4 linked regions of the Diceros bicornis minor genome follow. The protein of the gene in region 4 binds, or shares a complex with, the protein of the main gene of each other region. Links are inferred from orthologs where the notes say so. Each region holds a gene or a part of one and is shown on either strand. Other genes may lie near its edges.

The links.
Region 1: PDRG1 (region 4) and DNAAF10 share a complex: the UniProt entries of both Homo sapiens proteins name them as parts of the PAQosome complex. The link is inferred for Diceros bicornis minor from reciprocal best matches to the Homo sapiens genes PDRG1 and DNAAF10.
Region 2: PDRG1 (region 4) and PFDN2 share a complex: the UniProt entries of both Homo sapiens proteins name them as parts of the PAQosome complex. The link is inferred for Diceros bicornis minor from reciprocal best matches to the Homo sapiens genes PDRG1 and PFDN2.
Region 3: PDRG1 (region 4) and ASDURF share a complex: the UniProt entries of both Homo sapiens proteins name them as parts of the PAQosome complex. The link is inferred for Diceros bicornis minor from reciprocal best matches to the Homo sapiens genes PDRG1 and ASDURF.

The regions. Positions count from the first base shown.
Region 1 is NC_080751.1:20,032,645-20,040,968, reverse strand, and holds the start of DNAAF10 (dynein axonemal assembly factor 10), read right to left. Parts: upstream 3,334-8,324; 5' UTR 3,023-3,333; coding exon 2,840-3,022; intron 1-2,839. Other genes in the region: RNA-binding protein PNO1, read left to right, coding at 3,532-3,738, 3,971-4,120, 7,150-7,233, 7,394-7,454, 7,686-7,803. UniProt on the Homo sapiens protein: Key assembly factor specifically required for the stability of axonemal dynein heavy chains in cytoplasm.
Region 2 is NC_080743.1:67,691,284-67,699,381, forward strand, and holds the start of PFDN2 (prefoldin subunit 2), read right to left. Parts: upstream 3,306-8,098; 5' UTR 3,277-3,305; coding exon 3,202-3,276; intron 1-3,201. Other genes in the region: NIT1 (deaminated glutathione amidase), read left to right, coding at 4,382-4,626, 4,736-4,839, 5,065-5,198, 5,366-5,491, 5,767-6,033; DEDD (death effector domain-containing protein), read right to left, coding at 7,414-7,790. UniProt on the Homo sapiens protein: Binds specifically to cytosolic chaperonin (c-CPN) and transfers target proteins to it. Binds to nascent polypeptide chain and promotes folding in an environment in which there are many competing pathways for nonnative proteins.
Region 3 is NC_080749.1:68,664,377-68,672,008, reverse strand, and holds the start of ASDURF (ASNSD1 upstream open reading frame protein), read right to left. Parts: upstream 3,299-7,632; 5' UTR 3,219-3,298; coding exon 3,129-3,218; intron 1,596-3,128; coding exon 1,542-1,595; intron 295-1,541; coding exon 219-294; intron 1-218.
Region 4 is NC_080758.1:27,578,028-27,585,648, reverse strand, and holds the start of PDRG1 (p53 and DNA damage-regulated protein 1), read right to left. Parts: upstream 3,079-7,621; 5' UTR 3,008-3,078; coding exon 2,921-3,007; intron 1,401-2,920; coding exon 1,325-1,400; intron 479-1,324; coding exon 404-478; intron 1-403. UniProt on the Homo sapiens protein: May play a role in chaperone-mediated protein folding.

The sequences.
Region 1 (8,324 bases), on a different chromosome or scaffold from region 4:
AAAGTGTAAACATCCCCAACTATAATTCCATTCTTCAGGCCACCCTAGTCCTTTGCACCAACTCGAAAAAAGGTGCCCTTTACAGGCTGATGAAGTCTCACATCTGTAAGGCTTGATGAGAAATAGATGGACTTCAGCTCTCACCTGAACCCTTGGCCAGGCACCTATGTGTGGTGTAACCAACTGCTTATCTGTACGAGGCCCTGCCCTCATTCCCTATCTACCCAACAAGACGAGGAAGGCATCAACAAGACCTATCTGCTTCCTTCCTCTTTATCTTGGATACAAAGCATGGGGTTTGGAGCACATGACTTGAGGTGGTTCCACAAGGATAGAATCAAGAATGTTTCCTAACATTTTAATAAATAATTCATCTAGTCCAATGGTAGTTAACCCTGGTATTCATTAGAATCACCTGGTGGAAGTTTAAAAAATACTGATGTCTAGGCCTCACTCTAGTCTAGACGCACGAGTCCCAGTGCATCAGAATTTCTAGGGGTGGGACCAAGGCATGAATATTTAAAAGACACACATACACACAAACAACAGCAACAAGACACATTCAGGTGATCCTGATGCACAGTAAGAGATGGGAATCAGTGACCCTGTACTTAACCTATATTCTTCTCCACTGCATCATCATAGCCAAATACAAGTTCTTAAATGTGTTACTACATGTTTTATCCTCTCTTCAGACAGCAGGCTCTTGAGGAGACGGGACTCATCTTTCAAATACCTTTGGTCCTTCTTTAGCATAGTACCTTGAAATAATAGGGTCTTAATAGATGGTTTATGACAGAAAAAAAAAGACCCAAAGGAAACAGGTGAATATATAAAAAGTGGTTACTCCTAGGGCTGAGATTATGGCTGATAGTAATTTTCCTCTTACCCACATTTTTAAAACGCTCTGTCATAAACACACAAAACTTTTGTTAAAAAGATTATTTTTTTAAAAACTTGCTAGAATCCTCCAGAATCTCTAGAAGGGACAAAGAGCACTATTTCACTTCATGGAACAAGTGTATTCCTGAAATGTACACAAGTCATAGAGTCTTATTTAAAAAAGTCACAAGCCTGTAGATGCTCTCTGCTTAAGCTTTGATTGGTTCCTAATACTTCACCATTAGGTTTCTTTCTACTATTCCAATGTTTCCCATTTGTTCAATCTCCGGACTCCAACTGATTAATGATCAGTAAATCAATAGTTAAGTTTCCCAAGTTAGATCCTTTTACAGACATAGATTTACTCATTCTCTTAACAAGTCATTCATCGAGTGGCTGCTCCTTACAAACCACACTCAAGAAAGACACTGTTCTTGCTCTGCAGGAGCTTACACTCCAATCAGGGGTAAACGGGACAGAAGGATATATCTCTGGCACAGATAATAAGCACCATATGAATGCAATGTAAAGAACAGTTATTTTGTGTGGGGCTAAGGAAGGAACTTCATAAATCAGATCATCTGAACGGGACCTCAGAATAGAAATAGGTGACTGGGGCCTAAGGGGTGAACAACATAAGGAAAGGTGGAAAAGAACAAGCCATGTTTAGGATCTCTGAGTAGAGTGCCTGGCTAGAGAAGACAAACTAAACAAGAGAACTGGCATTCATAGAAATCTAAAGTGGGAAGGGGCCTTACATACCTTCTAATCTAAGCTTTTCTATGGAAATTGTATTCATTCTTTACCTACCAGGTTAACCCCTAGCTCCTCCAAGCAGATTCTCTCCATAGCTTTTGATCTCTGGAGTTCTCAGCCTTCCCTGCAGTCTATTAACCCTAAACACCTGAGTATGACTAACCTTTTTTTTTTTCAGGCAACCCAAGTCAAAGCATTTTTAAAACTGTAAACAGGTATAAAAATGTTAATTAATGTCATTATTCTCCAAATCTTTCGCTAGTGATCTTTACAAAACTTGTAAACCTGATCTTGCTACACCCTGTTGAAAGCCCTTCAACACTGTCCCATTTTTCTTAGAAAAAAAGCATAAATCTTTTAAATGACCTACAGATCTTGCGACTTCTGGTCCCTGCTTACCACTCATATTTCTTAAGGCGATAACCTCTCTCCCGTCGCTGAACTCCACATATGCTGTTTCCTCTGGAAACCTTCTCCACTCCTAGTTTGGCCTGGTTAGCTTCTACTCATCCCAAACCTGTTTTTACTCTCAGAGAACCGCGTTCCTTTATGTTAGAGAATTCATCTCAGTTTGTATTTGTGCACTGTTGATTTGATTATTTAACTGATTCTCTCTCCCACTAGAAAATAAACTCCAAGAGATCGGGGACCTTGTCATTCACATGTCTGGGAATACCAGGCAATCAACTGATACTAGTTTAGAGAATAAATGTTAGGTTGTCTCCTCCAATTACACAGCAGGCATTCTGGTGCCTGCTTTGGCTCTGCTTGTGTGGAAAAAGCATGTTACTAACATGGTAACATGTTATTAACACACTATTAACAGACTCTCCACAAAGAACTGCGCACCGCCCAGAAGGGCCTCCAAGTTAGACACGAAATCGTAACGTCACTTCAGAGACCTCGCGCTGGACTGCGAGGGTAGCTGGAGGTAGATGGAGGAAGGGGCCGGCAGGGCGCAGATGAACTAGCCCGCCGAGGAGAATTCAGGACTCGAACGAAATCGTTTAATGTCGGAAGTATTCCTCAATCTGCGATCAGCTTGCTAGCCCCACGCAGCTGGAACTGTGCTTCTCGGGAACCCTGGAGGAAGGCTTTGGCAAAAAAGAAATGCAGACCCCCTCCCTCCCCCAGGACCCGCACTCGCCCCACAACGGCACTTCCACATCCCACAACTGCGCAGTCTCGACCCGGCACCCACCTCCCGAAGCAGCTTTAGGTCACCGTGCTGGATCTCGTACAGCTGAATGACGCCGGTCCCCCGTGCGAAGTTGCCCATGGTCACAAATTTGGCGCTGCAGGGCACCCACTTACAGTCAAACACCGTGTAGTTGAGGCCCTTCTGGATATGAGCGATGATCTGAGGCTTCTCGAAGGCCGACATGGTCCAGCCGATTTCGCCTCTGCCAACCGGCACACCCAGACCCTGACAAAACACTAACCTGGAAACCAGACTCCAAATATTGACGATTGTCCCTTCCGTTTGCGTACTCGCCCCTAAACCCTCGCTAGTTGGATTTAGTTGTCTCAGGTAATGCCAGATGCGCTACTGAAGTCACACAAGATTTTTCTTCACGACGGCACAAACGTTTATCGTTTCTACCTACTGCCTTTCGCACATACACAGATTAGAGATCACAGAATACTTTGGCTGCCAATAGCGGGGCCAGAGGGAAACTCTAAGAATCAGGCATATTGTAGGATAGCCCTGCTTCCTCACCAACAAACACACACAAAATCATGCTTCAGGTCCCCTGCGTGGGACCTCTCAGGGAAGGGGGAGGAGCCCTGGGGCTGGTTGGCGAACGCCGGATTGCGGGAGGTGCGCCTGCGCAGTACAGCAGTGCACGTGGTCGAGCCGGAAGCGCCCACTGGGACTGGAGATTCCTGGGGATGGCAACCGAGATGGAGGCGCAGAGCGTCGGGGCCGAGGACGGCTTCACCCAGGTCACCCGCAAGGGTGGCCGGCGGGCGAAGAAACGGCAGGCTGAGCCGCTGTCCGCAGCGGGGGAGGGCGGGGACGCGGGCCGCATGGACACCGAGGAGGCCCGACCCGCGAAGAGGCCCGTCTTCCCGCCCCTCTCCGGGGACGGGTTCCTGGTACTGGCGGGACCCTGGGACAGAAACGGGGCAGGGGCCGGAGGCGGGTCAAGCCGGTGGTCTCTGGGTGATGTTGAAGCTGCTGGGGCTCTTCTGACTTCTATTAGAGAAGTAACTCTGCTGAAGTTTAATTCGTTCAGTTAAAGGAAGCTTTTTGTGGATGGGCTGTCACTTTACAACTCCACGCCCGTTCCTCCAGACGTCTCCTGAGTTGTGTGTTCTTTTATTGTAGGGTGGGAAAGAAGAAACAAGGAAAGTGCCAGTCCCAGCTAACAGATACACGCCGTTAAAAGAGAACTGGATGAAGATATTTACTCCTATTGTAGAACATTTGGGACTTCAGATACGCTTTAACTTGAAATCGAGGAATGTAGAAATCAGGGTAAGGAGAATGTCAGGCATTTCCAAATATAGCAGGGTTTCTCCTACAGGGATGAAAATGCACCAATAGACTTTCCTTAACGGGACTTATTTTATCAAATGGTTTTCTTCCAGTTTTCTAATTTAGTGAGTTTGAACTTCTCAAATGCCTTCAGGGTCTGCGTTTAACACAAATATTAATTAAATTCATATGTTAGGTCTGAGATCGAAATACTGGCTATGCCTGTGCCTGTTTTGTACAATAATGTTCTCTGTTGAATTGAGAAGAGGTCCAGAGGCCGGCCCTGTGGCGTAGTGGTTAAGTTTGTGCCCTCCGCTGCTGGTGGCCACGGTTCGGATCCCCGGCCCGCACCAAAGCACCGCTTGTCAGGCCATGCTGTGGCAGCGTCCCATATAAAGTGGAGGAAGATGGGCACAGATGTTAGCCCAGGGCCAGTCTTCCTCAACAAAAAGAGGAGGATTGGCATGGATGTTAGCTCAGGGCTGATCTTCCTCACCAAAAAAAAAACAAAGAGGTCCAGTAAAGAGGTTATCATAAACAGAAGTATGTAAATAATGAACCCAAGTGCTTGCTGCAGTACAGGCAATATATATTTTAAAAGTATTCTTTTGGGGAAAAATATGTATTATTTTGAGAATAAGTATAAATTATATATATATGTATTTTTTTTCATTCCATGATGTCAGTCCAGAAATTAGACAATTAAAATTAATTGACTTATGTCTTCTTTTTCTGGATGTCAACTTTGTTTCATAATCAATGACCAAAATTAATTACATCTTCCATTTTGAGGACTGTTAATGCTGTTATAGACTTATCTCTGTTGAGAGACCAGAATAATGGAATAATGCAGAGAGGCCCTTCTCTAAATAGTTGGTAAAGGTTAAAATATAGAACTTGACAGTAGAACTCCTCTTCGTTCCCACTGCCACTTTCATTCAGGTTTTTCTGGTTTCATGCCAAAACTTCTTGTTTCCTTATGGGTTTCTGTTGTTTCATTGCTTTAAATCTCCTTTCACCACTCCACCCTTTATGCCAGAGCCAGATTAATTTTCCCAGACCATGCTGCTTTTGTTATGATATCCTGGTATCTTCAGTGTCTCTGAAGGATAAAAGTTAAGTTTTTGACTGAACTTGCCTTTCAAGTACAAGTCTCAGTCCTAAGTTCGTCTCACCATCTCTGAACATTTGTATCTTCACACTTATGGGTGGCTTTGCTCTCTGAAGAAGGCCCTCTCCTCCCTACCCCCTTTCTCTTCCTACCTCAGTTCCAGTCATCCTTCAGAGTCTAGCTCAAGTTCTTTCTCCTTTATGATGGGTCCCTTTTTCAGTCGTGTCGTCAGTGCCTAGACTTCGATTGTGCTTAGCTGTCTTGTGTATTGCAGTGTTATCAATTTGGATTCCACTAACATTTGCTGATACTACTCTTTGCCAGACACAGAGTGGTGCTTTGGCATGCACTACATCATTTTGATCTTTAGGACAGCCCTATGAGGTGGATGACTTACATATCCCCATCTTATAGATGTGAGGAAACTGAGGGGCAAAGGAGTATCTTAGCCAAAGTCATCAAGGTAATAAGTGAATCGTGACTCTAGTAGGGACCTCTCAGGATCTCCTACTCTGACCTCCTTATTTTACAGGTGAGAAAGCTTAAGATCTAGAGTGTCTATGGGACTTGCCCAAGGTCACATATAGGATTGGGACTGGGCTCTAGTTTTAAATTTGCCATTACACAGCCCTGTATTGTTTTTGTGTGTGTGTGTGTGAGGAAGATTAGCCCTGAGCTAACATCTGTTGCCAATCCTCCTCTTTTTTGCTGAGGAAGACTGGCCCTGGGCTAACATCCGTGCCCATCTTCCTCTACTTTATGTGGGATGCCGCCGCAGCATGGCTTGACAAGCAGTGCGTCAGTGTGCGCCCAGGATCCGAACCAGCGAACCCTGGGCCGCCACAGTGGAGTGTACGCACTTAACAACTACGCCACCGGGCTGGCCCCAGCCCTATATTGTTTTAAATTTGTCAAATATGTGGTCTCTTCTACTAGATTGTGTGAGTGGAAGAGTGGAAATAACAGTTTTGGAATCAGATCTGTGTTCAATCTCACTTTTTCCACTTTTTAGTACTTTAGTTTCCTCAAATATAAAAGTATTGGGTGCCCCGTGACATAGTGGTTAAGTTTGGTGGGCTCTGCTTCGGCGGCCTGGGGTTCGCAGTTTGGATCCCGGGTGTGGACCTGCACCAGTCATCAGCTGCGCTGAGGTGGCGACCCACATACAAAATAGAGGAAGATTGGCACAGATGTTAGCTCAGGGACAGTCTTCCTCAAGCAACAAAAGAGGAAGATTGGCAATATATGTTAGCTCAGGGTGAATCTTCCTCACCAAAAAAGAATATATATGTATATGTAAAAGTATTTATATTACTTAACATTCAGAGTTGTCGTGAAGATTAGAGCTATAGCGTGCAAAGTACCTTTGTAGTGCATCTTTTACAGTGGTAGGCATTTTAGGAATAGCAGCTATTTCTGTGATTATTGAATAAACTCCATGAGGGTACCATCCTTGCTTAAACCATTCTTGGTATTAGTCCTGGAGTTGTTGCTTTGGGAAACATCAGCATGTAAATAATGACTGAAGTCAGGAGATAGATCAGGACTCCCAGGAGACTGGACTGAAGGGGAAGACGACCAACTTGGGCATTGACGGGATGAACCGGGGGCTGGAGCCCTTCAGAATGTGAGCGATTGGGCTCTGCCAGAGGCATCTTGCTGATCGTCCCAGAATCCAATCAGGCAAGGAGCATCGTCGGTCATTTGATGGTCTTTGGGTGGAACTGCCCAGCTGTGGAGCTGGAACCTTTTATTTTGCAAATTAAACACAGTACTTACCTCACCAAAAACAGAGTCATAGAGAATATATTGGGGAAGGGTGATGGTGAAGGAAATTACAGTAATGGGAAAGGTATTTTGTTAGAATATTGTCTTTTTCATCCCCAGCTATAATTTGTGCTAATTTTTTTTTTAACAGACATGTAAAGAAACCAAGGATGTTAGTGCTCTGACAAAAGCAGCTGATTTTGTGAAAGCCTTTATTCTCGGGTTTCAGGTGGAGGTGAGTGACTTCATGACGTCTGAAATGGGGGCTTGAAAAATACTGAGTAAGAATGTTTCAATGGATTTGGGTTTTTTTTTTTTTTTTTGAGTTTTCTAGTTCTACAGTTTGTGAATTTTAGCTTACCGCTCATTCTCAGGTGTTTATTTTTATATTGTAGGACGCACTTGCCCTTATTAGGTTGGATGACCTCTTCCTGGAGTCTTTTGAAATTACGGATGGTGAGTGTATGGTAGTCTTTCTTATGAAATACTGTACTTTTGTATTGTGTGTGACTGTCAGCTTTCTAATAACATCAATTGAGCTATATTATTAGCAGCTTTTTAAAAAATACATATTTCGTGTCTTTTAGTAGGGAAATTTAGTTAATGATTAAACTTTATGTGGAAGTGGTGGTGTACTGGAATACACTGGAATGGCTTACCTCTTGACATCTTGCTTTTCTCATTTAGTTAAGCCCTTAAAGGGAGACCACCTGTCAAGGGCAATAGGAAGAATCGCTGGCAAAGGAGGAAAAACCAAATTCACCATAGAGAATGTGACACGGACGCGGATAGTTTTGGCTGACGTGTAAGCATGTGATCTTGAGAAAATTACTGTCATCATTTGTATTTAATATTTTGCTGGTCTCAAAAAGTCGTCAAGATTGTATTTTATGCATAATGTCACCACTAAATCTTTGTTAATGTATGGTTGTGGATGAATAGATATGTACTTTGAAAGCAGATTGTTAGTTGAGAAAATCTTAGAAATTATAGCTTTTTTCTCAATTAGCAATGAAGGAAATGTTTAGAATCACTATTAAAAGAAATTACATGACAGGTAAAGATTTAAATAGTATCTCAGGGGAGTCTATTAAATCAGTAGGGGAGAGCAAGGAGTAGGTGTTTTAAATGCCATTGTGAGGCTTTCCTTTAAAAAAAAAATATATATATGTAATTTATTTATTTAGATATAAAAGCCTTTCATAAAAGGAAGGTGAATATTGCATGTTGGGTGAGAGCAATTATATGTGAACATAAATAAGATGATACGGGCTTAAAAAAAGGGTGTAGGAAGTCAAGCTGGGATTACCCCTGTCTGAGGTTGAA
Region 2 (8,098 bases), on a different chromosome or scaffold from region 4:
TTATCCCATCAACTGCTAGATTTATTGCATCAGCAATTTTTCCTAGGCTCACTAACATCACCCTAGTTCAGGTCTTCATCATCTCTTGTCTGAACTACTGCAAGAGTCTTCTAAATTATCTCCCTATTTTTGGACTCTCCAAATCCATCCTACACACTACTGCTAATTTAATTTTCCTAACACTTGGATGACACAGAAAAATGTTCATGATATATTATTAGGCTTAAAAAGTAGATTACAAAACAGTATATACTGTATAATACTAATTTTATAAAACAAAATACATAAATACATAAAATACACATGCCTTCTCTTTCCATCTACACACACATATACAAAAACATAAAGGAGGGAGGAAAAACCTCTCAAAGGATATACTCCAAAATGGTAAGAACAGTTATCTCTGGATACTACTAGTACCATCATGGGTAATTTATTTCTTATTTTGTACTTTTTCCTGTGTTTTTACATTTTCTACAATGAACATGTATTATTTTATGTAACAGGGAAAAAAAGTCAATAGTATAATATATATCGTTCTGTGACTCCCTCACTGCTTACATTAAAAAGTCCTAAATTCTCTGCCATGCAAAGACTCAGCTTGCCTTAATGGCCACATCTTTCTGACTTACACCTCATGATTTAGCTAAACAAATTTAGCAGTCACTGCACTTTGTGTCAAGTTAAGCTTTCCCTAGCTCTCCTCTTCCTACTCTGTCCCTACATTCTATTTCCAGTACCGCCTGTTCAAATCTATCCAATCCTTCAGGTTCAGCCCAAATATCTCTAATATGATCATAGTATAGACGGAAAAAATAGGTCTGCTTCTCAAGTCCCTCAATTAAAAGCCCTGCACTTCCAGTTACTGACTTTGGGTAAATTCACTGAAGCCCCTGAAACTCAAATGTCCTTATCTATAAAGGGAGGACAATACAACCTACTTCGAATGGCTGTAATTAAATAACAGAAGATAAAACAAGTGAAGTGCCTAGCACAATGTGTTACTTGCTTCCATCTTGTTTATAAGGGACATATGTGGATCAAACTTGCAGCAGTGATAAATCTTCTATTTTTTACCCAGTGTTCTCTCTGGAACACAAGCACAAAGGCAAGAGAATGTTAAGCAAGGAACAGCCTCAGAACTCAATTATCACAACTCCTCAGTCCCTTCTGAGGGCTCTCTTTCTTTAACCCCTTAACTATTGGTTCCACCCTTGTTCTGCTTCTTTTTTCACTTTCTGTACAAATCCCCGATGACTTCATCAACAATCATGGTTTCATCTACCATTCATAAACTCATAGTTCTCTAATCTGAATCTCCAACTCAGATTTCTTTCTGTAATTCAAGATTTATAAATCAAACCGCCTTCTAAATGTCTCTACCAGGATGTCCCACAAGAAACCCAAACTCAAAATCCTAAAATGAACTTATTTTCCCCCCAAACTGGTCCATCTTCCTACATTCCCTATGGCACCAGCATCCATCAAAGACAAAAACTTGAGACACATCCTCTTTTATCCCTTTTTCTCCACATTCAAGTCTGGTAGTCCATCCTAAACTTTAACTCCACCTGCACCCCAAACATGTCAGGCAGTTTCATGCCTTAGTGCTCTTAAACACATTATTCTCTCTAGCTAGAAAATCCTTCACTTCCTTCTTTGCTTCACTAACTTCTCTCATCCTTTAGAATTGAGCTGAAGGATTATTTCCTCTAGAAAACAAAATAACTAGCACTTATTAAATACACAGTATATTACAGTCACTGTGCAAAACACTGCATGCATTGTCTTGCCTAATAATCAAACGCAGTGATGAGGTAGGTACCATTATGTTTTTATAGGAGGGGAAGGTGGAGAGAATTAACTCATGGGAGGTCATCTATAGACAGTAAGCAGGAGAAATGTGATTCAAACACAGGTTTGACCCACCCCACTGACCCCAGTGCACTTCTGACACTCTTGGCCACCCCACTATACCACAGCTTGCCTTCTCCACCCATGCCTCAAATCCCATAACCTCCTGCTTAGTTAGAGGTCCCTCCTCTAGCTGCCATAAAGAAGGGCCTTTGTGTAACCCTGTACATCTTATTGTTTCGTTTGTCTTTTCTCAAATGAGTCTGGAGCTAACTTGAAAACAAAGTCTATTTCATTTATCTGTTTCCCTGTACCCACCAGAGCTCCTGGCACATGGCAGACCCTCAAAAAGGGTATTAGGTTCCCTCTCACTTCCCTTTTTTCCCTTAAGCCAGAAACTCTCTCTTTCCCCCCTCCCCAAAACCCCATAGCACTTTATACCTCATATTTAATTTATAAATTTTATAATATAAATTTTATTAAAGATAAAATTTATCTTCTGCCTCATATTAGCATTTTGTATGTCTTATTTTCCCACCAGACTATGAGCTCTTTGACTGCATAGGTCAGTTTGAAAAATCTTTATGCAGATACCCTCGCCTGTAGTAATTGTTCAACAAATAACTGATAAATAAAACTATAATTTAAAGAGCTGTTGTTTAACTGCGTTTTTCTTTATATTATGTAGGTTTCTTACCTCTATTAAACACTAGCCCCACTATCAGCAAACCATGGTTTCCCAAGCCTCAAAGGGCTTTCTAATTAATTTATCAAACGTTTCTCGATGTCAGGCACTGGGGGAAATGCAAACTCGGATTAAAAACGGTTTCTGGTCTCTAAAGAAATTCAATCTAACAATGACTCCCAAATTAAAATAGTATGGAACACTAGACTTATCGAGTATGTGAGTCACGCACGTGGCTCTGCAGAGTGACGGCGACTGTCAACGTGGTTTCAGGGTCACGTAACAAACTACACAACCAGCCCGTTGACTAATACCCTGAGATCCGTTACCAGCTGTCTTGCCCTGCCATACACACCCCGTCTGAGGGTGCGGAGAGGTGGGGAAAGTGACGACTATCTCCCCTCAGACCTGTGCATCCTCCCAGACCCTGCATCTCAGGGCTTTCCCCTCCCCCAGGCTCACCAACACCCCAAGGGGGGCGTGGCTTTCACCCACCAACCCGCCCACTCTCTCCCCGGGGGTTCGGCTAGCTTCTCCAAGTACCCTCCCCTCTCTCGGCGGCCACGCAAATGTGGGCCTGCACCAGCCTCAGGCTCCCCGCTCTTCTCGCATCGACTCCACGCCCAGCCGCGTTGGCCCCCTCCGCGTTCTCCGCGCCTCACCTGCTCTGCCGACACCGCCCCCTTCCCCGCGCCACTCCCGCTGCTCTTGCCGGCGCGACCGCTGCTCTCCGCCATCTTCGCCGCCTGCTGGCTTCCCGGCGTGCGCAGCTCAGCCCCCGCCTTGCGTCACGTCCGGTCTCGGAGTTACCGCCCACTCGCCCCCGGCGCCTCTGCTTCCAGGCCGCTTTTCGGTTCGGATCCTGCGAATGGTTTTGGCAGTACCTTCATGTAGGACCTGCTTCCTAGCCCGCTGGCCGCGGTGAATTCCACCTGTGGTGCTTTAACTTGTGCAGCAGAGACGCTACCCCTGAGGGAGGCGGGGAAGGACGGGCCAACTGGAGAGTGGGGGCGCGGGTTGGGATTCGGGTGCCGGTGCCCCTTGCCTACCACGGGGTGGTGGGGAACCAGGGAGGGTGAACTTCCACTCAGAGATTGTGGTGTAATGGGGAAAATATGCTTTGAGTCAGTAAGGCTGTGCAGGTGCACAGTCAAGGAGAGAGGCTGAGAAAACCAAGGAAATTTCTCGGGGGTGACTTTTGAACTGCAGAAAAGTTTGGCAGAGGACAAGGGCTTCAGGTTAATGTGAGATCACTAGAAGTCGAGGTATTCAGGTGCCGAGCAGAGCCCTTTTCTCCATCTTCCCACTTTATGATCTCTTCCTGTAGCCCATAATTATTTATAGTAAAGAGTGTTTTGAAGACGGGAGTTTTTCCTGGCAGAGCCCTGATTTAGCCTCACAGTATGAAGAGAGAAGTCAGAAAATCCGAGAGATTTATCGCTTGAGGGACGGGTTGGTTTCCTGATTTCTCATCTTCCTCAGGCTGGGCTTCATCATCAGGCCTCCTCACCAGCTCCTGTCCCTTCTTTTGTGTCCTGGACTCCGGCTACCTCGACTCTCAGTACTTTGTGCTCAGCCCAGGTAACCGTGTTTTGTTGTGTCCTCAATGCCTGGCGCATCGCAGGTGCTCAATAAGTGTTTGTTAAATGAATGGATGGTGGGAAACACTGGGCTACCAGCCATCCACAGAACATTTGATTGGTGGGTCATTGTGCCTTGTGAGAACAGAATCAAAGGGCAGTTCAGCCTTCCTTCCTCCCCATTTGATCCCTTCATCATCAAACTTGGATTTCCCCATGCTGGGAAGTGAGTCCTGCCTGTGCCATCCACAGACCCAGAGCCATGGCTATCTCCTCCTCCTCCTGTGAACTGCCCCTTGTGGCTGTGTGCCAGGTAACATCGACACCTGACAAACAGCAGAACTTTAAAACTTGTGCTGAGCTAGTTCGAGAGGCTGCCAGACTGGGCTCTTGCCTGGCTTTTCTGCCTGAGGCATTTGACTTCATTGCACGAGATCCTGCAGAGACGCTACGCCTGTCTGAGCCACTGGATGGGAACCTTTTGGGAGAATATACCCAGCTTGCCAGGTATCAGGGAAAGGGGGAGGGAGAGGTAGTTTCTTTGTTGGGCAGTGTCCCTGGATTGCCAGATATGAGTAGAGCCTTGAGAAGAGTTGTCAGTGTCCCTTCCTCCCAGGGAATGTGGACTCTGGCTGTCCTTGGGTGGTTTCCATGAGCGTGGCCAAGACTGGGAGCAGACTCAGAAAATCTACAATTGTCATGTGCTTCTGAACAGCAAGGGTGAGACTTCATAACTCTTTAGCCTGCCTCTTCGCAGGCTCTTCTACCTAAACTAAGATTCTCCAGAATTCTGTTTTGTTTCTCAACTCTATTTCCTCGGCCTAGGGTTTCAGGGTGTTTGTACTTCTGTTCATACCTATAAACTGTCTCCTCCTTGGGAGGAGAAGAACTAAGCTGAGCTTCTAAAGCACCAGCACTGAGTATTCCTTCTCTCTCTTATTCTAGGGTCAGTAGTGGCCACTTACAGGAAGACACATCTGTGTGACGTAGAGATTCCAGGGCAGGGACCTATGCGTGAAAGCAATTCTACCCTGCCTGGGCCCAGTCTTGAGTCACCTGTCAGCACACCAGCAGGCAAGGTGGGAGTTGTGAAAGGATAAGGGTGGGCAAACAAGAGGGAGGGGAATTAGGAATACTTTGACCTGGTAGTAGAGGATAGAAAGCCCTAAGGAATGGGTAGCAGGGGTATAACTAGATGCTGTGACACACAGGACAGGGGGGCTAACTAGGCTCGTTTTCTTTCCAGGTTGGTCTAGCTATCTGCTATGACATGCGGTTCCCTGAACTGTCTCTGGCATTGGCTCAGGCTGGAGCAGAAATACTTACCTACCCTTCAGCTTTTGGATCTGTAACAGGCCCAGCCCACTGGGAGGTAAGAGGACACCTCTTCAAAATATAAGGGCCTTCTCTTGACCTCATTCTTCTCCCTTGGCCCTACCAGTTGAAAGACTTTCTTCCCCTTCCCAGCTAGTGAGAAAATTCATTCCCCAGATCGTTGCCTAACTTATGTTAAAGAATAAATAAATCATTCCTAAACAATTATCAGAATGGCCCCGATGGGTATATTGGCCTGTAATGTCCATTGCTTATCACTTCCCCACTAGCACCTGTGTCTACTTACGCGAACACACATCTCCTCATCCCCAGGTGTTGCTGCGGGCACGTGCCATTGAAACCCAGTGCTATGTAGTGGCAGCAGCACAGTGTGGACGCCACCATGAGAAGAGATCAAGTTATGGCCAGAGCATGGTGGTGGATCCCTGGGGAACAGTGGTGGCCCGCTGCTCTGAGGGACAAGGCCTCTGCCTTGCCCGAATTGACCTCAATTATCTGCGACAGTTGCGCCAACACCTGCCTGTATTCCAGCATCGCAGGCCTGACCTCTATGGCAATCTGGGTCACCCACGGTCTTAAGACTTTTGACTTCTGTGAGTTGAGACCCCCATTGTGAGCTGGTGTTGCTGTGACTTGTAGGCAGGACCCAGGCACAGCTCCCCTCACTTGGGGAACCTTGACTCTCTTGATGGAACACAGGCTCAGCTTCTTGGGAAAGAAGAAACTTGCACCTGAGCTCAGATTTCAGTTTCAGAAAAGTGGAATTTTATGTAGTCACTGTTTATTTCATGAAAACTGAAGTTACGCTGAGGGCTGAGCAGCACTGGCATTGAAAAAAATATAATCATAAAGTCTGTGTCTGGACATCTCCTCTGGGAGCTGAAAGGGAGGTGGTATTGTACCAGCTGGACTGGGCTCCAGTTCTAGGCTTCCTGGCTCACTCAACATGCCTCCCCACCTAAATAAAAGTGCAACACTCAGTGCATGTCCCAGCCCCATGCTCCCAAGCTTGGGAGTGGGATTGGGGGTAGAGGATGGGGAAGGAAAAAGAAGAAAGGAGTTGATATTGAATTACTTCACTTTCACCTATGATGCCCTTTGCCCAAGTCATAAGAAAGCAAAGGGGAAAAGGGCTGCAGGGTACATTATTTATTTTCACTTGAACATGGAAGGAAAGTGTCACACTCCCCCTTCCCCTTTTTAGGGGGAGTGTATTTTAATTAGCAACAACTTCTCCATCCACCCTGTGTATGTGTGTACACACACACACCACAGTTGGGAGAGGCGACTAGGCTGACCTAGTCCTCTTACCTATTACTCCCTTGAAGAGGGTTTGACAAAGGAAGAAAAGGAACCACACCAGGCAGAGGTTTCAAGCCATGGAATGGAGGAAACAAGGCAGAGAGGAGCAGCACCAGAGGCCAGGAGAGAGTGGAAAGGGCCACAGCTTCTTTGTTTTTTAAAAATTCTATAATTTGGGAGAGGGTGGTGATTAATTTCCAAAATACACTTCAGAGTCCCACCTTCCACATAGCTCCCTTACTCACAGCCCTTTGGTTTTTCAGACAAAATTTAAGAGCCCCCATAAAGCCAGAAGTACTGATAACCCCTCAATGCACCCAAAAGCAGTGTTCACTTCAATCCCTTACAAAGACTATGTTCCATAGACTTTGCTTCTCTCTATACATTTGTCTTACGGCTCAGTGGCAAGGTGGCTGTAGAGACATACATTAGGGGGATAAGTGGAAAAGGGGAACAAAGGGGAAGCCCAGGCACATGGGTGCAGGGAGGGGTGGGGAACACCACTTCCATTTTCCTTTGTCTTTTCCTTTAAAAAAAAAAAAAAAAGGCAGGGGTGTGATTGGTTGGAAGGGTAGAGAACAAACCCCAGAACAGTATGTAAGCTCCAGAGGTGGGTGGTGGGAACAGTCCCCCAGAGAAGTGAGAAAGGGGAAAAGGTCAGGGCAATGCTTGCAGCATCAAGTTCCTCAGGAGTTTCTGTCGGCCCAGCTCATAGTCCTCCTCATCCACATTCACCAGCAGCTTAATGGCTTCATGGCCCACAGCCTGCTTGAGGGAGTCTGTGATAAAGACACCTTTAAGTGCCTCTAGTAATGAGCCATTGATGTAGTCGCGCCAGAATGCATCGAGGTAGGTGAGCTCAGAGAACTTGATATCACAGATGATGGAGCCCAGGTCCCGGGACTTGAGGATGGTGTTGGCCTGGTTAAAGCGCTCAAACTGGCGCTCAAGTGGGTCCTGCTTGTTAGAGAAGACATTGCCCTGCAGAGCAGTCTCGTGCTGGCAGTATTCAGCTCGAACCCGCAGTCTGATGTCTGTGGGGAAGAGAAGATACATAGGAGTGGTTGCAGTAAGGGGTGAGTTTACAACCCAAGTTTGAAAGGTTAAATAGCAGAGTAGCACAGTCGGGAACATCACCAGACAGCAGCTCTACCTCTTCCCCAGGACTAGTTCTTTTCTATGTACCTCTGAAATCCTTGCCTGAATGCAGAAGGTTCCCTTGATTGGGCCATGCCCAAGTCAGGTTATTCCCATCACTCAAACAGCACCTTTTGCTTCTAGGAGATATTTTTCCAATTAACAGGCACAGAAGTTCATTTTAATACTCTAGCATGACTTGGTT
Region 3 (7,632 bases), on a different chromosome or scaffold from region 4:
AATTGATTTTTACTGTAGACTCATCTTTGGAAGGCTAATTTGAAGAAAACCAAATCACCGCATTAATTTTATTAACAGGTATACCACCGTCCAATCTTTAGCTATACAGTTAAACATTCAGATATAGATAGTATAATTCATGCACTACCATAAATTTCTACAGAAAGCCTACAAAAGACTTTCTGTGTGTTTCCAAATAACATCCCAAAGAAACTTACTTTTGCTTTCAGAAAGCATTTCTGTTCGGTCTGCAAGAAAGAATATGTTGCTGTTCTGTTGCTGCCTATATACTTTCTGCAAAACATAATTTAGGCTAATATCATGATTTGATCTAAAAAGTAGATGTCAAATCTCTGAACCCTATTATTGCTTATTCTTGAACTTTAGTAACATATACCTTAGCAAATACAAATAAACAAAAGTCACCCATTATCCTACCATCTAGAAACTGCTACCATTCACACTGAGGTGACACTTTTTCTCTGCATATACCACAATACCATTTCTCTTTAACAAAAAAGGCTACTGTAACTACAGACTTATAATTTGCTTTTATCCTGAACAATATATTGAGAACACTTTTTCTCAGTAGTAAGTGTTCTTTTACATTACTATATGAGTATAACATACTACAGTTTATTTGGTCGTCCTCAAGTTTTAGACATTTAAGTTGTCACCAACTTTTCACTATTATAAATCAATGTTGTGATGAACGTCTTTGTAACTAAATCTTTGTGCACTCCCATGATTCTTTCCTAAGTATTAATTCCTATAAATGGAACTGCTGGGTCAAAGTGTTACACAGTTTTAAGCTTCAATAAAGCAGTCTGCCAACTTGCCCTCTAGAAAGTTTGTATTAATTGTGCCTTAACTTCTAATATTCCACAAGTGACAGTATGAGAAATGTCTAACCTGTCAGTTATCAAATTATCTTTAAAATGCTGTAAAGGGCTCAAAATAATTTCTTCCTGAACTTTAAAATGTAATTTTTGATAGTATAACTACACATGAAGTAGTAGCTTGCTTGTTATGAATACATTAATGGAAATAGCATTAAATAACCATGTTAAATATTTGGAAGATCTGTGTAAAAATTTTTGGCAGGGAGGGGAAGCATTTATCTTTTTTGTTTTTCCAACAATTATCCACATTCACTTAGAAATAGTCTCCACTCTTCTCAACATAAAATTCACTTATTTCAAAAGAAAATACCACATTCAAGTATAAAATAAATAACATTACTGATTATAGCTCCAAGATACCACAGTACAATTTGTATCATTTGGTTCAAAGGTAATGTGAATTGCACATGATGGGGAAAAGATATCATCAACTATGATTAATCTATAGATATCTATATATGATATATATATAAAATCTTGGATGCTTTTCACTGTTGCAATTTAACTAAAAAGATGCTGAAATCTTGTAAATTTTAATATAAATATAAGTCATATATGATTCTTTTAACTTTTGTATATAGTTAATAAGATACAATCAAACCCTCCCACATACTATTCAGAATTACTCCAATAACTCACCCTGTTCTTCTTCAGGTTAGAAAGTTCATCCACAACAATTTTTTGTTCTTTAATCTATTGAAATAAAGAAAAACATCTTAAATCAGAGGTTCTCAAAGTATGCTCAATGAGGGTGCTTTAAAATTAGAGAGATGGGATAGGGGCCATAACGGGCAGTCTGTGACTATGCGGACTCTTGTCAACAGCAGTCTGGGGCGAGGAGGGGGAGACAGAGTTGGAGGAGGAAACAATGAGTAGACTTGCCAAGTGTTAGCCCATTGAGCCCAGCCAGGGAGTTTGGTGTTGGTAACCAGCATCCAGGCAAGGGCGGTAGTTACTAAACAAGGTTTATACCTTTTAGTTACACAATATGCACACAAAGTAATACCAGTTTTTCAATGATTTATGTTTTAGCTTTAAAAAAAGAAAAAAACCCAGCAAATGGAATGAGGGGTGAGTTACTCGCCCCCCCAATACCAATGGTTTTCATGATTTATGTATAAATGGTGCAGCCAGACATTCAGAACAAGCAAGTGGTACTAAATGCCCTACCTGGGGCAGTAAGACCTATCACTTTCCATCTTTGCTTTATTCCTCTTTATATCTCAAAGACTAACACAATGCTGGCACTGTTGAACTAGGCCTCGAAATAGGAGAGGGCTCCACTAAGTGGAAACAAAGTTTTTTTTCTAACTCTTTTCAGTAAAGGTAGTTATTCTGTGAACATGACTGATTACATAGTATCACTATTGCCTCTAAAAGCAGGTTTTATAAAATCTTTGTCCTACCTCAGGAACCTCAGGCATCTGTCATACATCAGTATAAGTGGCTTGCTCTGGTAGTAATCAGAGTGGGCTGTATGAGGTTTGAAAATTCACCCTTGGGGGGGGTTATTAGAGACTTGCCCAAGATGTCACTGTTAGTTTGGGACAGAACCAAAGTAGAATCTAGGACATCTAACACCTGAAAAGCTATAACCATCCCCATCTCCTATATATTTTTTAAAGGTTTTGTCTGTTTATGGCAGTTAAGATATATATTATATTGTCCCCACCTCCTGCCCCCTTTTTGGATGGAGGAGTGACAATCAAATCCGTGTTTTAGGATCATTGCTCTGGCTGATGTGGAGAAGAGAATGGAAGGTAATGATGGACGAAGCGAGACCAGTTAGGAAGCCTTTGCAGGGTAGATGAAGGTGGCTGGTGATAAACGGACATATTTGAAATGAGCTTCAGAAGCAGAACTGACAGGACTTCGCGATGGACGTCAAGGATGGTTCCCGGGTTACTGGCACGGACAACTGGATGGTTGGCGGTGACTTTTCTGAGATAGAGAACATCGGCGGCAGATCTGGGGTGGGCAGTATTTCTAAAAGTTTAAATAAAGAGAAAAAACCCCAACCAAATCTCCGCCTCACTGCCTCCTGGGTCTAATTTCGGTGCAAACTTCAGGGTCTGCCTTAATTGTAGCTGTCGAACGCTAAGAATAACAAGAGAGAAGCAGCTGGGCAAAGCCGAGAGCGGGCCACGCGGCCGCGGCAGACCTCCCCCGGGGCTGAGCGGCGCTCCGTCCCGAGCCTGCGGGCCGCTCGCCTCGTCCCACACTCACCTTGTTGCTAAGATCCTCTTTGTGAGGGGCTGAGTCGTCGGTAGGGACCAGCCCGGCGCCGTCCTCCGGGCGTGTGCCCCGGCTAGGCATCTCCACCGAGGGAACGGTACGCGGGACGCGCAGCGCAGCTGGCGCCCCAGGTGCCTCCCCAGGTGCCTCCAGCCTCCAGCCTCCAGCCCTCAGCCCCCAGCCTCCGCGCGTGCGCGCTCCCAGCGGCTCCACCCCCTCGTTTCCTTCCCTATGAGTCCTACCAATAGCTTCTGCGCACTCACTGGAACGCCTGCGCAGTCCGGGTTTGGCGTGGGAGCAGTTCCGCGCGTGCGCACAGATGCTTAGGGAGCGCGTGAGCAGAGCCTGGTTGTGAAATCGGAGAGGTTCCTGAACTGTCCGCTAGCGGATCGGCTGTGGAAACGGCCTTGTGGTCTCCACTCCCTCGCGTTCTGTAGACTGTGAGTTATATGCGCCCCCCAGTGGTCAATATAAAGAATAGAAGCGCAGTAGAACTAGACAATATTTATTATCTAGGCAAGGATGTGAAGCTAGGCACAGATTTAAGAGACACGTTTTTGGCAACAGAACTGTACAGACTTGGTGAAGTTTTTGTTAACTTGTTATTGGAGTTAAAAGATAAATACAGAATGCCCGGTTAAATATGAATTTCAGATAAATGAATGATTTTTTAGTATAAGTATGTCCCTTGCAATATTTTCAGAATCTCGCTCCAATGAGAAAAATTATCCAAGACTTGGAAATAGGCGAGAGATTACTGGGTGTTCTTTCACAGCTTTTCTGGGCTTGACTTTCTATTGACTGGGGTATTTTAACAATTCTGGAGAGGCAGAGGTAAACGTGCAGATTTTTGTCTGGCAGAGATGCAAATAATTTCTATCTGGTGGGCCAGATAACCCCACAGATTATGAATTATTGTTCTGTAATATATTAAGCAGTTTTGTATCTAACTCTGCAATCCTATCCTAACATTTCTTTATTATATATGCCTAGCTTCTCATAAACTCTCTGAATTGGTTTTAACATCTTACCTGTTCCCTCATTAATTAACGAGCTGAATAAAACTTTGGCCTATGTTCATTTTACATGTGTATGAGAGACGTGGTTTTATATTTTTGAAAATTATACTTTAACATAAGAAATCTTAAGTTTCCATGGAGATGCCCAAGTGAGCTCATGTGATGGAGCCAAACTGTATGGCTAAGGAAGTGTATGTCGTGGGTTGTTTCAGCCCAGGCATTTCTTTTATTGCCTCTTACAGTAAATCCGAAGTGGTTATAGAACTGTTTACTGTATATTTTTAATTTTTACTGATTTTTAGAAATTTTGGTTTTGTTTCTGATTTACGCATGGCTGATAAGTTATTATACATGGGTAGCAGCAGTGATTGGGAATTTGGTTTTATGGTCTAATGATTTGGTGATATCTGTTGGATGATGGAGATCTAGTCTCTATTAGAAAAGACATGACAGTGAATCCAGTTTTTTAGTCTTTTTGTTTGTCCTTTGTGAGCTCAAGTTAATTAAGAATTTCATGCTCACTGGAAAGGAGAACAGGTTTTTGAGATCTGGGCTAGTGAGTTTTTGTGTTTACTTTCAACCTGGGATTGAGGTTGTAAAACTGAAGCTATAAGCTCTCTCTGTGTCTATAATTTAGAATAGCCTTTATATCTTGTTGTGTGAATGTAAAATGTTTTCATACTCCTGGAGGGTATTAATAAATTCCATTGTAATGTCTCTTAAATTAGAGGAACTCTGTTCTGATTGGTCTACAGACACAAATATGCATTTGTGTAAATCTCCCAATTTAAAAAAAGCCCAGAATTTCTTTTTCTTTTTCTTTTTCTTTTTTTTGAGGAAGATCAGCCCTGAGCTAACATCCATGCCAATCCTCCTCTTTTTGCTGAGGAAGACCAGCCCTGAGCTAACATCTATTGCCAATCTTCCTCCTTTGTTTTCCCTTTTTCTCCCCAAAGCCCCAGTAGATAGTTTTATGTCATAGTTGCACGTCCTTCTAGTTGCTGTATGTGGGGCATGGCCTCAGCATGGCCCGACAAGCGGTGCGACAGTGCGCGCCCGGATCCAAACCCAGGCTGCCAGTAGCGGAGCACGTGCACTTAACTGCTAAGCCACGGGGCCGGCCCCCAGAATTTCTAATACTTTGAGTGCTAGACTTATAAGAAAAAAAGTCTTGCTTACAAAAGCTGCTAGCTTAGAAATATTTGAAGAATCCAAATTTATAAAATTAAGGTGAGTCTTTGGAGAAATCAGGCTAGATTAATAATTTTGGTTTAAGAAAGAAAAGGCAATTATATATCTTTTCTATATTTATCAATGTTAAGTAAAATACAGGTACTTTTTAAATAACACTTAGATTTGTTTTCTCATGAAGAGATTAGCTAATCTGAATTTCCTATGCTCTTTATGTTGGTTTACTGATTAAATAAGCTAGCATTACTGCTATGGAATATTTAAGTTTATGAAAAATGTAAATTTGTGTTCACTAAAACGAGTAATTATTCAGACAGACTTTTTAGATCAACAGTAATTATGTTTTATACCATATAAGTTTAAACATAATTCAAAAATATTTAGGTAATTAAAACTCTGAGGTAATATTAAATTGAGTTAATTAATGATTAATCATTAGATAACTAGATAATTTACTTTTAAAAGTTGAATCCTGAAACATTGATTAATAGAAGCATAATTTTAAGTTTATATACTTTTGCTTCTTGTTTTTATTTGCCATAGAATAGCTATCCTTTTGAGCCATGTTAATGGACATGTTCATTTTTCCCACTTTCAGAAGGTTTAAAGGGAATGTGTGTGGCTGTAGACAGTTGTGTTATGTGTACTTATGAGCTTCATTTGCTAAAATGCTTGCATATGACTGTTCTCAATTATCTACCTCCAGTTCTTTCTATGAAATAGAAGTTATTAAATTGGTTAAAAGTTATAACTAATGTGAGTGGCTAAGATCACATTAGGGGCAAGAGTAACAGAGAATGCAAGGTAATGGGATGAGCCTTGTTTGCAAGGAAAAAGATAGTTCTAAAGTAAAGTATCCTTTTGTTCCAGAATATGAAAGAGCACAGTAAAAGATGAAACTTGAGGAAGTATAGCAAGTTGGAGAAGGTTTGATGAAAGCGGATTTTATTTGCCTTGATTTGTAATACCTGATCCTGAAAAGAAACTATGAAATATGTTAAAACTTTGGCAAAACGCAGTTTTGAAGCTTTAGTCACAAGATAATTATTTTTTTTAAACTTTACTTCCAAATATTATATTAATTAAAAACTAAAATTTGGCATTCTTTTAACCCATCTTCTGGCTCCATTCACCAACACCTTTAGAGTTCACCACAGTTGAGCTGGTGGGAACCTATGAACACACCTCCCCTGACACATGGGATGTCATTTTATTAGTGCTTGGAGGTAAAGGTGAGGCTTATCTGTAAAGCTGAAGAGACTGAGCTTCAAATTAGTCTCTAATATGTATGGCATATTAGTCTTCTTTGTACCCCACCTTCTATGGCAGTGGCTGGCAGAGTGGGAGCTCTGGGTAATGTTCGAATTGACTCTTTGACCCACAATCATTTCCATTTTCAGTGGCCGGAAACACTGCTGATGGGTCTACAGCTGTTCACCTTGTTCTGGGGGTGAGTTGTTGCTTATGGCTCTGCCTGGTTCTAATGTTTTTGTTTATTTACAGGGGCCACCCAAGATGACATAATACTAAACCAAGTGGTGATGGTCATATTAGTATGGTGCTAAACTGTTTTCAAAGTTCTTTGACATTTTATCTTATTTTTTCATGTTTATCCAATTGCTTCTCTTTTCCCCTTCAGCTGCTGTAATTCCTGCGTTGGTTGAAGTCACGCTTTAGGGATACCTGGTATCGTTTGTCTTTTCTGGTTCGGGACTGCCCATCTGCAGCCCACTGTACAACTAACTAGGCTGTTTCCTTCTTTCATTTAAGTCCATTGTTGTCATGTATCCTACTTAATAGGATAATTTTGTGTTTATCAATGCTATTTATGCTCTTCCTCTGATGCTACATTCTTAGTATATTTCATTGTGTTTAACAATACATAGTTCACTGTTGAACATTTTATGGAAGTGATGTGTATTATTAACCTGGATTCCAAGGTTGAATGAATAGTTTCCTCAACCACTGTGTTTTTCCTTGCCTTCTCAGTATACTCTAACAGATTTATTTCTAGCCACAGAAGTCTCCTTCCTGTCTCTCCCAATGAGGTGTGAAATAGTGCTGTGGTTCCCAAGTATCAGTTAGTCTGTGGGTGCCCTTCTCAGTATATCAGAGCCCCTGAAAATCTTGTTCAGATGCCTATAGATTTCTCAGTCTTTTCCCCAGATTTACTGAATCAAATCTTTGGGAATGGGATGCAACTGTCTGCTGCATAACATAGTTATGCATTTAACCTATAACCAAAATGACTGGGCTTGAATTTTGGCTTCTACATTTATTACAAG
Region 4 (7,621 bases):
AGCGAGGACACAACAACCATGAGACTATGCTAAGCTGACACTGCTAAACAGCAGAGCCAGTCCTGGACCGCTCACCTCTGGACAACTTCTTCCTCTATTTCCTTAAGCCTCCATTTGTTGAGTTTTCTGTTATTTGTGGCCCACCCTGCTCCTCACTGATAAAGAAGCACTATGCTGGGCAGGCATACTGTTAGATCTCAACTTCACAACATAGATGCACCCCACCTTTAGGGATGAGGAAATAACTCGGCAGCAAAGCAGGGATTAAAACTCACATCAGTCTGAACCCGTCAACAGAGCCGCCTCTCGTCGAGCTGCCCAAAGCCTGACGCTCAGTTCCGGGTTAAGACAGAGGCTGGGTGGGAGGCAGCCGCGTCCCTGACCCGTGCCCAGGAGGCCTTACCTTTCTCAATCATTTCCTTCGTCTCAGGGTGAGTCATCTTGATAAACATGTTCCCGAAGCAAACCATCACATCTTCTGAAATGGCAAACAGTCATTCCCTCAACAAATATTTTTTGAGCACTTACTATCTTCCAGGCATTGTTTTAGATGCTGAGTACACAGCAGAACAAGACAAAGTTCCTGCCCTCATAGAGCTTATGCTGTAATGGTGGAGAGGAAACAAATAAGCAAAGATATGCTCTGTCAGACGCTGACAAGTCTAAGTACTGTAGAGAAAAATAAAGCACAGTGAGAGGGATGGGCAATGCCAGAGTAGGCGAGGGACCTGTTACTTACACCAGGTGGTCCGAGAAGGTCTCACTGAGAGGAATTTCTCAGTGTGAGAAATTTCTCACTTCTTTGACATTTGGGCAGAGACCCAAAGAAAGTAAGGAGAGTGAGGACGTGAGCCCTGCAGACATCTGGGGAAAGAGCGAGCCAGGCAGAGGAAACAGAAACAGCTCAGTAATGTGCCTGGAGTGTTAGAAACGGCAAGAAAACCAGTGTAGATGGAGAGTGAGTGATGGGGAGAGTAGAGGAGATGATCGTGGAGAGTTCAAGTGGGTCTGGACTACTTGGGGTCTCGCAGGACTGGGTCTTACTCTGGTGAGATGAGAAGCAACTGGAAGGTTTCAGGCTTTCCAGGGCGCTTGAAACAAAACTCGAACTTCTTCCCTCGGCCCCCAAGGCCCTTCATTATGGCCTGGCCTCTGCCCATCTCTCCAGCCTTATCACGCACCCCTCCCCCACTGCTTACCCTGTCACAGCCACTTGGCCTCATCTAAAGAACCCCATCCCTTCCTCCAACACCTACCCCACGTCCAGTTCCATCTTCGGCTTTCCCCCAATTTTCAATTACGTAATTATGTCGTCTTGACTTACCAGAGAGGCTCAGGTCCCTCTGCAGGGCTCTCAGGCCCTCTCGGTTCTGATTCCTTTTGGTGTCCAGGTCCACAATCTGAAAAGCACAGGGGCAGGAGGGAACTCAGCTGCCTCTTGCTCCTACCTGTCACCCCCCAACAGACCAGGGGCTCTTAAAACCTAACAGAGAACGAGGCGTCACTCCTGGGTTACTTCCAATGTCCTGTCTAAAAGGGGCTGATGTATGAATGTTTCTCTTTCCCCACTCAGCTTCCAGGTCCTTAAAGACCACGCTTTGTGCAGGTGTCTTCCTCCCAGAGAAGATGCTGGGAAAACGTTTGCTGACTAAACGGATAATTTCTTATTACCCACTGGAGCACTAGTTCTCAAGCTCTTGGGCATTTCAGAATCACCAGGGGAGTGGAGTCCTCTCCCTGGATTAGCTCCTCCATCTGATTTTGACCTCGTATCATGAGAAATCCTAAAATACTAGACTGGAACAGCAGGGGTGGGGGCACTGAGATGGTGGTAACATGGCAATAGCTAATAAGGAAGTGAGGAGGTAGTGAGGTATACTGCCTGGGAGCACTGGCTCTGGAGCCCCAAGACCAGGCTTGAATCCTGCTGCCTACGAGCTGTGTAATTTCACCTTCCTTAGCACAGTACTTGACACACACTAAGTACTTGATAAACTTTAACTGCTAGTATTACTATCACCCAGCTCACCTTGATGCAGTGTTTAATGAGCTCTTCCCCTTCTCAGTAAATACCCGACCACCCACGCAATCTTTCTAACTGCAGATGAGCAGTCAGGAACCATTCTTGATCCTCCCACTCCCTCACCCCTCTATGTAACCATCATCAAGGCCCACTAAGTCCATCTCCAAAATATATTTCAGACCCATTCTCTTGTCTCCATCACCGCCCCCCTGGTCCAAATGCATCTCTCACCTGGACCATGGCAATGGCCCCTCACAGGCCCCTTGTCCCCCACTATATTCTGTGCCCCACAAGAGGCCAAAGGGATTCTTTTAAAACCTAAATCCAATTCCATCATCCTCCCTTCGCCCCCATGAACTCCTTTCAGACACTTCAATTACAACCAGACCCAAATCGCTGGGCCGGTCTACAAGGTCCCCCCTGATGCGCCCCACCTTCCTCCAACGTCCCCACTCCCGCGCCATCACAAGACCACTCAGGCCTCTTTTCTGGTCCTCTTCTCCCCTCAGGGCCTGGACCCGGGCGGTGTAGCCTAGATCAATTAGGGGGCCCAGGAACTGCATTTTGAAAAACGTGTTCACGTACACCGCCCAAAGGAGCAACGGTCAGGATCCAGACAGCACGGCAAGGGGCAGAGGAAGGATGGAGAGGGAAGGCCTAGCACAGAGCAGCCGCTCACTTAATGGGGGCCGAATAAATGAGCGAAGCGCGGCGCTGTGCCAAGCGTCTGACCCACATTATCTCACAACCGTCACAACCATCAGCGCACCTGCCCGGATCAACTCGCTGAGAGCCGGTGCCCGAGCCAGACTCCGGACCCGCGCGCTTCCCCACGGCGCCCGCCGCCAGGCCGCAAGCGCCCAACCCCGGCCCCAGCGCCGCGGACGGGCCTCCCACCTGCCGCTTGTCCGCCAGCACCTCCTCGGCGAGCTCCTCCACCTCCACCAGGTACCGCAGCACCCGCTCCGCCTCGGGCGACAGCATGAAGCCCACCAGCTCGGACTCTGCTCCCACACAAGCCGACTCTAGCTCCGCTCCGTCTCCGCCTGCGCAGGCGCCGCTCTGACAGGCCTGCCGGCGCGCATGCGCAACTAAAGCAGAACCGTGGCGCGCAGGCTCCAACGCACGCTCGCCAGCCGGACACGGGAGGCGGGGCCTTGCTTTGGGGCGCGGCTGGAGCGCGTGAGAGAGCTTTGGAGAAATATAAATCATTCTTCCCCTGTTTGAGGAACACCAAGGAGGCCCATGTGGCAGTGTGACTTATAGTGAACCTCTGACGCCTTCAGTTTCCAATTTATAAAACGGAAGTCAATAAAGATCCCCCTCATTGTCTCTCTGCAGGACTAGAAGGAGGCAGGAATCACTTTCAATTCAGTTTGACCAGTGTTCATTGAACCCCTGTGTTGGGCCCAATGTCCAGCGTAGTTGACCTAGACCCAAGGAAGGGGCTGGAAAACCATGGGCAGTGAGCAATAAAGTCTGTGAGTTCCGGAAAGCGAATCACTGTGGACTGTAGGATCCGGGAGGACCTCCAAGAAGAGGCAGGCAGGTGGAAAGTGGCTGCCCTTCATAACCAGCGAGTTCCCTAGAGATCGTTATGCCCAAACCACTCTGTGTACGGCTAGAAGAACAAGGCTCAGAGGGCGATGAGGACTGCAAAAAGTCAACAGCAGACCTGATACGAGAACTCTGACCTCCTGCCTCCCTGAGTCCAGCGTCTTATTCTCCCCTTTTGGCCCCTTGGAACCAAGCCCTTTCCACCCCTTGCCTTACTTGAATTTCACAACAACCTTTGTATGGGTGGGTTATTACTGCCCCATTTCACGGCTGCAGACTGAGGCCGGGAGAAGGGCAATTCTTTGTCACACACATATCAGAAGCAAACGTGAGTCTAGAAGCGCTCTGGTCTCCAACCACAGCTGTCTCTGGATCTTGAAAAGAAACTCTCCCCAAACTGTGGCCCCAGCAGTCCCAGGAGCGCCTCCTCATTTTCTGGCCTTTGGCTTCCTTCAGCTGCTAGAGGCCCAGCTAATTATCCCTGCAGCCGCCTGGCATGGAGAAAGAAGGAGATTCATTAAGGATTCCTCACTGAGGGTGAATTTGTTGCCAAACCCAGGATGTTTTGTGTAAACACCTTCTGGTTCAGAAACGCAGACACAGGCCCTGTGAAGGAAGGGGGAACATTTGCCAAAGGAGCAACTGGGCTCACCAGGCCTCCCTGGGGCCTGGACCCCAGAACTGGGTCTCCTCTTTGGGGCCCAAAGAGGGCTGGACCAGGCTGACCCCTGACCCCTGCTAGTTGGGCCCGGATGGGGAAGGGTTGAGGGAGCCTCCCGGGTTGGCAGCTTCTTGGCCGTGACCGGCCCTTAGAGGGCACCCCTGGCCTCTAGAAGTGTTGGGGAGGGACGTCATACCCAAGACTTTGAGACAGTCAGACCTGGAAAAACTCTTGCTTCAGAACCACTTATGTTCCAGAACCATCTATTTCACAAATATTTATTCACTGCCCTGGCCCTGTTATAGGGATTCCACCAGGAACAAAACCAGACATGGTCCTTGCCCTCAGAAAGCTTCCAGTCTGGTGGGAGAGACCGTCAATAAACACATGGACAAGTAAATGTATCATATGTCAGGTGGTGACGAGTGCTTTGAGAACAACAGAGCAGGCCAAGGTGGAGAGGGAATGAGGGAGGAGCTGTCTGAGAAAAGGTGGTCAAGGAGGGCTTCTCTGAAGAGTTGGCATTTCAGCAGAGATGCGGAGGAGGTGAGGAGTGAGCCATGTGGATATCTGGGGGAAGAGCATTCCGGGCAGAGGGAACAACAAACACCAAGGCCCTGAGATGAGCCTTTGTTTGGCAAGTTGGAAGGACAGCGAGGCCAGTGTAGGTGGAACAGAATGAGCAAGGAGGAGAGGTAAGAAATGAGGGCAGAAGGAGGAAGGCGGCGTTAAGCATATGGGGCTATAGAAAGGGCTGTAGGTGCCCTGTCCAAATGGGCAAGGCCCTCCCTGGCAGTCGCCTGCAGACACTGCTGCACAGGCCTGTGGCTTCCTGCTTCTGAGCTCACGGATGCAGGTTGAGTGGGGAAAGCCGATGAGTTACCCACAGGAGCAGCCCTCAACCAAGAAGAGAGAGGAGTTAGTGGCTGCATAGCCCAGCTTCTTTGCCCCCCTGTGGGAGACCCAAGAGGAGGCTGCTGCAATCATCCAGGTAAGAGAGGATGGTCACTGGACCAGGGAAGCAGTGGGGATGGTGAGCAGTGGTGGGATTCTCAAGGCCTTTGCACACACTCCTCCATCAGCCTGGGTTAATTTTCTCCCACATCTGTATACCTGTGTAACTAATACGTATCCCCCACTTGTTGGCTTGGTGTCACCTATTTCCAAGGGTCAACAATTGGGGCCCCCACAGCTTCCTGAGCTTCTCCTGTCTCTGCACTTACCACACCATCTTTTTTCTCTAATCATCTCCCTCTCTATTCGTGAGCTCCTCAGGGCGGGGACCTAGTCTGTCTTGTTCCCTGCAATGTCTCCAGAACCTAGAATGGTGCCTGGCACACAGTAGGTGCTCAGTCAGTGTTTATGGAATGAATGAGTGGACTCAGCATGAAGCAGAACTTTCTAAAATCCAAAGTATCCAATGAGCAGAGCTAACTCAAGGGTAGCTAGTTCCCATCCCAGAAGGTCTATATGACTGGACTGCTCCGTGGTCGGGATTTTGCAGAGGGTGCATCCTTCTGCAGCCTGGGTGGGGATGATCCCTAAGTCTTTCCTAACCAGAAAAACTCTCCCTGGTCACACTGGGGTATGCCCCCATCTTTAGCCACCTCAAGCCCGGGCTGAAAGGAAGGTAGCTGCTGGGGCATTGGCCTTTGGGGACTGGAGCCAACAAGAATGATGCTCCACCCATTCCCCTTGAGTCTCCTTTTACTGTTTCTGTGTGTCCCCTTGGGTATGTGTTCAGTGACCAGCACCCCTTCTCTCCTTGGGAGGACTGCCCTCAGGCTGCCGGAGCTCCGGGGAGACTTACCCTCCCTCCACGCTGTGACCCATCACTGCAGGGATAGGAAAGTCCACCTGCCTTGCCTGGGATGCTGGCGTGTAGGCGGATAACTCTGAGGTGTAACTTATACTCCACAGTTCCCCTCTGGGATCAGGCTGAGCTGCCACCCATACGACATCCACAAGCCCTGTTTGACTTCCTCTCCATCTTGGTCCTGCGTCCCCCACTCATTCATGGTCAAAACCCTCCAATGCTCACATCTCACTCAGTAAAAGCCAAACGCCTCACGGAGGCCCCCAAGGCCCTATGTGACCTGCCCTACCTCTCTGAGGCATCTCCCACCTCTCTCCCCCCTCCTTGCTGTTCCTCAAACAAGCCAGGCATAGTCTCACCTCAGGGCCTTTGCACTGGCTGCTCCCTCTGCCTGCACTTTCCCTTGATGTCTACATGTCTCCCTCCCTTGCCTCCTATAAGTCTTTGCTTAAATTTCACCTTCTCAATGAGGCCTACCCTGACCACTCTATTTAAAAATGCAACCCTCCCACTCCCAGTATTCCTGATCCACTTCCTCTGCTCTACTTTTTCTTTTTTTCCATAACATTTTTCACTTTCCAACATGCTATATAATTTACTTATATTTACTGTTAATCTCTCTCTGCTAGAAAGGAAGCTCTGTGAGAGCAGGAATTTTTGTCTCATTTGTTCCTGATGTATCCCAAATGCCTAGACAGTGCCTGGACCATAGAAGGTGCTCAATAAACATTTTTGAATGAATGAATGAGGAAAAGAGCCAGAATTCTAACCAAGGCAGATCCTCTCTAAGGCCAGGGTCTTAACCCCTATGCTGGATGTGGGGGGTGGGAGTGGCAGATCACACTAGGCCTTGCCAGTTAAGGTAAGGGGATTGGATTTTGTTCTCAGATCAGTGCGAAGCCACTGGAGGGTTCTGAGCAAGCACAGGACACAATTGAGTTTACTTTGTGAAGCCCCCTCTGGCTGTGGATGGGCTAAAAGGGGCAAGCATGGTGCAGTCCTCTGGGGGGGTGTTGGAGGTGGGACCGTGATGATGGGGCTTGGAGAGGTGACAGCGCTGCGGCTACACTGGGCCTGGGAGCAGCGAGAAACCGGTTCAATATCCCGATTCTCCAGGCAGCCTGGGTGGCTGCCCCACTGGCTCTGGCCTGTGAGTTGTCCAGGCCGGGCCTCCCAGCTGCTCACAACATGCCCCTGTCCCACAGTTGGACTGTTTGCTCTCCTGGGTGGTCCCCAGCTCCTCCCTCCGCTTCCTTTGCGCCCTTGTGGGCTTGGCAGGTGGAAGGAAAGCCTCCACTCCCTCTCCTCCCCTGACCCGGAGAATAATCCCTTATATTCATGCAATTCTCCTCCTGCCCTGACTTCATCCTCCCACATCTCCGGGTAACACAGAAATCTGATTCCCATTGGGCAGATGAGGACATTGAGGCCCGGAAAGAGGATGGGACCCTCCCAAGGTCATGCAGCCAGATGGGGCCGCCAGGTGGGGACCTGTCTCCCAACTCCCCATGCCTCGATTTCATCAGGCAACAGATGGTCCCAAGGCTTGACTTGAAAAAGCTTA